Linked DNA regions of Canis lupus familiaris. The protein of the gene in region 1 interacts with the protein of each later gene in a pairwise test. Links are inferred from orthologs where the notes say so. Each region holds a gene or a part of one and is shown on either strand. Other genes may lie near its edges. The genes, in order: PEG10 and EXOSC5.

Region 1 (3,813 bases):
TTCACAATGGTACATAATTGTCATATTTACATTTTGTATAATGTAACATAAAGTGGTTACATTAAAAAATAGATTGGAGGGTTTTAGCTGGCATTATAAAACATACACATAAAACATCTGATGCCTTACCTCCAGTCAGATGTACCATGTTTATGTTTCTAATAAAATGAAGAAATTTTAAAACCTGGTTTCATATATTGTAAGCCATAAGCCAGGACTCTGACTCCCAAATATCTGTCACCCACCCCCTAATAAATATGCAATTTACATATCTTTATGTATTTATACTTGTGGTAATTACAGCTTTCAGTTAATCCCCAGCCCCCCCCCCCCCCCCCCCCCCCCGTCACCCTACCCCCACTTCCTTTCGAAATTCTATGTTTTTTTTAAAGTTCAAAACAATGGTAAAAATATGCATATTAATATAATTTGCATTTCACAAATAGTATACATGGTACTAAAAAAGAAATTGGGACATTTGAAAATATAAAGCAATTAAGAGTTGCTTAATGAAGTGTCATTTTCTAATGAGATGTTTAATGTGCAGTGTTTTTTGGCTACTGTTACTTTTTGGTGTGTTTGGGGAACAAGTTTTTAGAAGTCTTCAAGAAGAGTCAAAGGTCAATCAAATGTATTTAATTCCTATATAGACTAACACTGGATTCTTTTTCATGTGTAAAGGTGACATCTATCCCATGTGACTTGGCTCAGTACTGTGTGTCATTTCAGGTTTTAGGAATGGGGCCTTTGGGCCTGACCTCCACAATCCAGCCCCTAGTAAGGGGTGGGAGGTGCAAATCAAGTCACAGTGCTCCTGTTCCCAAATTAACTGGTGCTCTAGTTGCTATTTAAATATCTTTAAGCTTTATTTACATTGAATGTTAACCTGCCTGCCGACTATCCTATGTTTTTTAAAGGTTACACTACTCTTCTCTGGGCAGTTATCTCCTTTAGGATTTAGAATCCCACACCAAAATTAAAAATCCCAGGGGTGGGTACCTGATGCCTGATCTTGGTAAAGGTCAGGGGTCTCACACTGGTGACCTTGCAAGTCAAATAAGGCCCTTAATTTATTTGACCAGCACTGGATTAAAAATATTTTAAAGAATTGAATGTTTCTGGGGAGGGGACATGCATCCCTAAATTACATAGTCACCAGCCCACTCCTTATTGTCTTAACTCCAGTTTCTTCTCACTTTTATGTTACCTTCCTGTCTACTAAAATCATTTGCATTTTAAGCCCTTATTGATCTTTTGATTCCTTAAACAATATACAATGATTGTTTGCTGATTTCTGAATGTGTTGTTATATCTGTCCTATTATTATGTTTTGCAGATATTAAAACCATGAGACTGGAACCTCAGTAAAGCTCCCCCCAATGACTGTGATTGACATGTGGGTTGTTAACCTTCCTGACCTGGGTCAGGCAACGCCAGGCCGAGCTATGAAGGCCTTTCCAGAAGTTTTCTAAGTTTTCTAAGTATTAATGTCTAGATACAGAAGTGGCACTTGAGTCACCTGACTTGTGTTTATTGTTTTTTAATGGGACATTAAAGCTTTTAATTTAAAAAAATAAAGATTTTAATTTAATAAATCAAAATCACACTATTTTGTGACTAATCCAGGGCCTCATTTTTTTTTCTTGTACCCTATTGATTGAAATATTAGCTATTTTTCACATAACTTCTTTGAATAACACATTTATCTTTGTGGGCTTTAATTAATATAATTAATTTAGTGTCCATTATTGCCTTGATGGGTCAGAGAAGAACAGGTGACCAGGAATGCCAAGTTAAAATTTAGTGAATGGGCAGTCTGCCTGCTTTTACAAATTATGGTTTTAAACTTTTGAGCGCTTTCCTAAAGTTTTCCAAATATGAGAACTTAATGCTCATTTAAAAATTATAAAAAGTTAAAATTAAGTTACTATAAATGCATTTAACCCTCATTTTAGGAAGTACATAAACACTGCTGGATTTATTGTATGTGTGATTTATTGTCACCATACCCATAATTAAGACCTTAATCCCCCAAACCCCCAATGCCCCCCATGTTGCTACTCACCACCTAGGAGTACAGCCCTATCCTGCTCTAAATTATAAACTTTTGGGTGGGACTGTGCTGACAAATCTTGTTTAAAAACCAGAAGTTGGAAACTGGTGACCTGCAAATCAAATGAGGCCCTGGATTTGTTTGGCCAACAGCGTATTCCCCCCTCCCCCCCCCCCCAAAAAAAGTAATGTCTTTAGGTGGGAAATGCCTGCCTAGGTTGCCATAGTTGCAGGCCCTCCCTGTTTTAATCTTAGCCTCTTTACACAGAAAGTTACCTTTCTTATTAATATCAGCTAACAGTTGTTAAGTATTCACTGCTTTACCTGCATTACCTAATTAAATCCATACTGTAAATTTGAGGTATTCTCTTTTTGGGCTTTTTTGACTGTCCCATTTAATAGCCTAGCTCTTCCTAGGAGGCATCAATTAACATTTGTTGATGAACTGCATAATAAGGAGAGAGGCTGATACACAACGTTGCTGCTCGGTGCCACTTCTGTCCCGAAGGGAATTCTCTCTGGGAAATCAGATTATGTTGGATTTAGACAATCTTGTGGGTTTCGTGACCGTTGTTGTTGTTGTTGTTGTTTGTTTTGATAATCAGTTAGTGACCTTCACCATGGAGGTAGTGCCCTCTTCCCTCCCCCGGCTGATGAATACAGGCAGTGTGATTTAAATCCCCCACCCTTCTTTTTGGTTCCCTATTGGCTGGATTATTAGCTCTTTTTCAGGTAACCCGTCTAATAACAATTATCATTTTGGCTTTGTGTTTTTAATTTGGTCTCCATCTTTGACTTGAAAGTTTCTTGCTGTGCCCTCCTGATCCAAACTGGTATTTTGGAATGTCTCCGCATTCTTTTACGGTCAGTGAAGGTAAACTTGCTGTTGATACCGGTATGCATTGTTGTTGAATCATAATAGGTGACATTTGATGAGGAAAAAGGTCATTTGGACGTTAAAAAGTAGGGTGCTTTTTGTTACTACCTATTGTCTTAATTGATTATTAACTTGTTTCTCCCTTTTGCAAGATCTGTGTTTGTTTATTAAATATTAATGTAAGCAAGTAGAGCAAAGAGATACTTTAAATACTCATGTATTTAAAGTATTTTAGTGGATACTTTAAATACTCATGTATTTAAAGTATTTTAATGGCTACTTTAAATACTCACGTATTTAAGGTACTTTAGTGGCTACTTTAGATGCTAAAATCTTTTTTGTAGTGTGCTGCTTTGAACGTGGATGATAAACTTCTGCTTTTATCTTCCTTTACAGAAACAAAAAGCTTTTGAAAACAAAACGAAGAAAGGGTGGAAGAGGAGGCCAGGATCAGGGCCTCCATCCCCACAGGAGCGAAGCTACACCTGGGAGGTCTCCTCCCACGCCAACCCTCACCCTGGGGCCCGACTGCCCACCTCCTCCTCCTCCTCCTCCCCCCAACGGCCCCTCCTCCTCCTCTTCCTCCTGCTCCTCCTCCTCTTCCTCTTCTTCATCCTCACGCAGCGCCCCAAGGGGCCAGTACATCCCCAACCTGGCCGAACGAAGGCGAGACGATCTCTCTGAAGAGATCAACAACCTCCGAGAGAAGGTCATGAAGCAGTCCGAGGAGAACAACAACCTGCAGAACCAGGTGCAGAAGCTCACAGAGGAGAACACCTCCCTGCGCGAGCAAGTGGAGCCCGCCCCTCAGGACGAGGAGGACGACCTGGAGCTCCGAGGTGCTGCAGCCGCCGCTGCCCCACCCACTCCGCTAGAGGAGGAGT
Region 2 (4,360 bases), on another chromosome or scaffold:
TGACCCCACCACTCCACCAAACAGCTCTTGACAGCATCACAGATGACATAGGTCCGGACTGTCCACCGACAGGTCTGGAGGACGGATGCAGCTGGTGGGCCCTTACATCTCAAACACTTCTCTGAGCCCCTCTGAGGTCAGTGTCCTCTCTGGGTTTTCCTCCCACCTTATTGGCTGCTTTTCTCTGGTCTTTTCCTAGCTCCTCACAGGTTAGACAACCCTGGATTTAGTCTGTGACCTCTTCTCTTTCCACCTACACTTGTTCTCTTTATTTCATCCAATCAATAGTGTGAAACACCATCTATAGCCAGAGAATTCCAAATTATATATTTAGGTTGAGTCTCTCTCTTTTTAAGATTTTATTTACTTATTTGACACAGAGAGAGAGAGAGAGAGCGCGCACAAGGGGGGAGCAGCAGGCAGAGGGAGAGGGAGAAGCAGGCTCCCCACTGAGCAGGGAGCCTGATGCTGGGTGGGATCCTAGACCCTGAGATCATGACCTGAGCTGAAGGCAGATGCTTAACTGACTGAGCCACCCAGGCGCCCCTGGGTCTCTCCTCCCAAATGCAGACTTCTATATCCTATTGCCCTGTCCATATAGTCACTGTGATGTCCACCAGGCACTGCAAACTTAATGTTCCAAATTGAACTCCTTATCTCCCAGTACAGCTGATTTGGAAAAAAAATCTTGGTGTTATCCCTCTCCTTCTCACACTCCAACACTGAACCATCTGCAAGTTTTGTGTTTTACTTTCAACATACATACACCCAGAATCTCACCACCTCCACTGCTTCCACTCTGGTCTGAGCCACCGCATCTCCCCTTCTTTCTCATATCTATACAGTCAACACTGCAGCAGAGAGATTCTGTTAAAATATATCCAGATCATGTCAACCCTCTGAGCAAAACTTGGAAGCAGTGGCCCCCAGCTCATTCATTATGCATCACATGACAAGCAATCCTCCTTAGCTCTCCCCAGCCTCCTCACTGCTCTGGCCACACAGTCTACAGACTATTCCTCAAACACACCAGACAAATCCTTGCCTCAGGGCCTCTGCCCCTGCAGTTCTTCATCCTAGGTATGCTTTTCCTCCTGCTTATCTTCAAGGTTTGCTCCCTTACCTTTAGGTCTTTATTCAAATGTTACCATCTCATCAAGGCCTTTCCTGACTATCCGGTTAAGATCGCAACCCTCTCTGGCACACCCTATTTCCTTTCCCTACTATAATTTTTCTCCATAGGCATCTTCCGACATATTTTTTTTTAAAGATTTTATTTATTTATTCATGAGAGACACAGAGAGAGAGAGAGAGAGAGACAGAGACACAGGCAGAGGGAGAAGCAGGCTCCATGCAGGGAGCCCGATGAGGGACCTGATCCTTGGTCTTGAGGATCACGCCCTGGGCTGAAGGCGGCGCTAAATCGCTGAGCCACCCAGGCTGCCCTCCTACATATTTTTTTTTTAAAGATTTATTTATTTATTTATTTATTCATGATAGACAGAGAGAGAGAGAGAGAGAGAGAGGCAGAGACACAGGCAGAGGGAGAAGCAGGCTCCATGTGAGAGCCTGACGCGGGACTCGATCCCGGGACTCCAAGATTGCACCCTGGGCCAAAGGCAGGCGCCAAACCACCGAACCACCCAGGGATCCCCTTCCTACATATTTTACTTATCTTTTGTCTGTCTCCTCGACTAGAACATAAACTGTTAAGTCAGGGATTTAAAAAAAAATTTTTTTTAAGATTTATTTATTTATTCATGAAAGACAGAGAGAGAGACAGAGAGAGAGAGAGAGAGGCAGACAGAGAAGCAGGCTCCATGCAGGGAGCCGGAGGCAGGAGCCAAACCGTGGAGCCACCCAGGCATCCCTTTAAAATGTATTTTATTGGGATCCCTGGGTGGCGCAGTGGTTTGGCACCTGCCTTTGGCCCAGGGCGCGATCCTGGAGACCCGGGATCGAATCCCACGTCTGGCTCCCAGTGCATGGAGCCTGCTTCTCCCTCTGCCTGTGTCTCTGCCTCTCTCTCTCTCTCTCTGTGTGACTATCATAAATAAGTAAAAATTAATATAAAATAAAATAAAATGTATTTTATCCACGTATTCCCAGGACCCAGGACAGTGCTTAATGCGAATACACGTGTTCAATGAAGGAATGAATGAAAACAGGTTTTGTACCTGGGTAGAAGGTAATGCCCCTAGTGAGGAGGCTGAAGCATTTATGGGGGTGATTCTTAGGCTATCTTCAGAGGAATATTCACCCGGGGCAGGGAGCTGAGATGCATTTGGTCACGGGAAGGAGATATTTTACCCAATAGGGAAAGCCTGCCCCAAACCTAGGGATATTTACACGTATGGAGAGATGTGTATTGCTGTCAAAGGGATATATACCGCACAATCACTCTCAAATACTCTGAAAAGTATTTACCTGGACAAAAAGACATGCCCGCAGTCCAGAGAGTAATGAAGCCGGTAGTGTTGATTTGCGGGTCTATTTACGCGCAAGGGCAGGTTTGCCGCAGCCTGGCGTGCATGGACCCGGGGTGTCCGCGGGGGAGGCGGGAGACGAATTTAATCAAGGGAGATATTTACTCTGCTGAGCGCCTCTCTCCTCGGAGTATTTACCACGGTGGCGATACCGTCTCCCTTCTAGCCGGGAGCGCAGGATACGTTACTCCGGCATATCCGGGAGTATCCTCCCGGGCAAGAACTGCACCACCCGTGCAGGAGGGACACTTACCAGCTAGTGGCACTCCTCTGCACGGTAACCTGTAACCTTCCGAAACAAATACAACGTGGCGAACGTGGCACAGGCAGTATTTGCCTAGGGTAAGTCCTTACCTTGCAGGAAAGAGGCAGAGCCATCCGGCCGGGACAGCAGGTTCTGCTCACAAGCAAAGTGCCGGAGGCTGCAGCCCGGGCCCCGAGGGCCGGACTCTGTTCCAGACTCCGCGCAGGTCTTGGCGTCCGCCGGCAGCGCCCCCTCCATCGCCCCAGACCCCACGTGCCGCTGCGGAACCTCGCTTCCGCACGGGAGCGCGCGCGGGCGTCCAGCCTGCGTGCCCAGTGCGCACGCGCAGGTCCGGGGCGCCAGGACCCGTTCCCGCACGTGGCTCCGCGTTTACTAACAATCTGGCCCCTCCCACTCCCGCCTCGCAAGCCCATTGGAGAGTAGCGAAGAGAGGGCGGGCCTTGGCATGGACTCGTCCTACCCGAAGCCCCCGCGCCCTAAAGCCCTAAGGCTCTGGTCAGGTTGTCCTCTCCTTTGCCTGTTACAGAAACAACTAAGATGAGGTGATGAGAGTAATTTTGGCAAGCTAGATTGTTTGTTCCTCCCGTACCCGTGCCCTGGAGACTGCAGGGTGGGTCGCTGGTGGTTTCTTGGCAGGGCGGTGCTAGCATTTGAGTCAGGCTCCTGAAGGGGCAGCCCCCAGTCTAGCCGAGGAGAGGGGCGGAGCTCTGAGGGGTTGTGAGCCAAGATGGCGGTGGCGGCGGCGGCAGCGAGGGTCTGGGGCTCGAGTCGAGGTTTGGGCCAGGCTGGTCTCCTGCTCCTGCGCCGGCCTTGGGCTCGGGGGCTGGCTAGATCTGTGAGTACCTGGGGAGTTTTTCCCGAGGGAGAATAGGGATGTCAACGCCGTCTTCCGACGTGGGGTTCGTGCAGGGAGTGAGCGAAGGGCTGTCACAGAGGGGACCGGGGCTGAGAGAGCTGCTCCGTGAGGACATTCGGGAAGAACTTCCACTCCCTCAGGAGAGGAGAAGTGAGGCAGCCTCCTCTGTGGGCCCGGAGAGAGGGAGACAACTTGGAGAGAGAGAAGGGGTTCCGCTTTAGTTGCCACTCATGCCCACGGGAGGCCGCGTGGAGGGACACGGTGGGACGGCGAGACATTGCCCCGCAGGCGTTGGAGACTGCGACTGCCCGAGGCTGAGGCTTCCGGGTGTGGCTCCCCCTCAGGAAGGAGAAAAGAGAGATCAGCTTCTCCGACGCGGGCTTTTATAGTGCGCTGCGTTTGTTTTACTATTGTTCTTTTTTTTTTTTTTTTTTTTTTTGAGATTTTATTTATTCATGAGACCCAGAGAGAGGCTGAGGGAGAAGCAGGCTCCCTGCAGGGAGCCTGATGGGGGACTCGATCCCAGGACCCCAGGATCAGGACCTGGGCGGAAGGCAGACGCTCAACCACTGAGCCACCTGGTCATCCCACCCACATTTCTGGGTAACACTTGAGAGATGCCTCAATTCTTATCAAAAGTGTCAGAATTCCCTTGGGTTGATGCTGCAAACTGTAAGTTCACACAGCGGAAGTCTAACTTAGAAGCTCGTTCAGTGGGAGAGAGGCCTTGGGCTGCGGAACCATGAACTGAAA

Evidence for each region.
Region 2: the proteins of PEG10 (region 1) and EXOSC5 interact in binary tests that used the Homo sapiens proteins (3 or more experiments, as listed by UniProt). The link is inferred for Canis lupus familiaris from reciprocal best matches to the Homo sapiens genes PEG10 and EXOSC5.

Annotation. Positions count from the first base shown.
Region 1 is NC_049235.1:20,084,119-20,087,931, forward strand, and holds part of PEG10 (retrotransposon-derived protein PEG10), read left to right. Parts: intron 1-3,325; 5' UTR 3,326-3,446; coding exon 3,447-3,813.
Region 2 is NC_049222.1:113,383,231-113,387,590, reverse strand, and holds the start of EXOSC5 (exosome complex component RRP46), read right to left. Parts: upstream 3,080-4,360; 5' UTR 2,989-3,079; coding exon 2,841-2,988; intron 1-2,840. Other genes in the region: BCKDHA (2-oxoisovalerate dehydrogenase subunit alpha, mitochondrial), read left to right, coding at 3,479-3,586. UniProt on the Homo sapiens protein: Non-catalytic component of the RNA exosome complex which has 3'->5' exoribonuclease activity and participates in a multitude of cellular RNA processing and degradation events.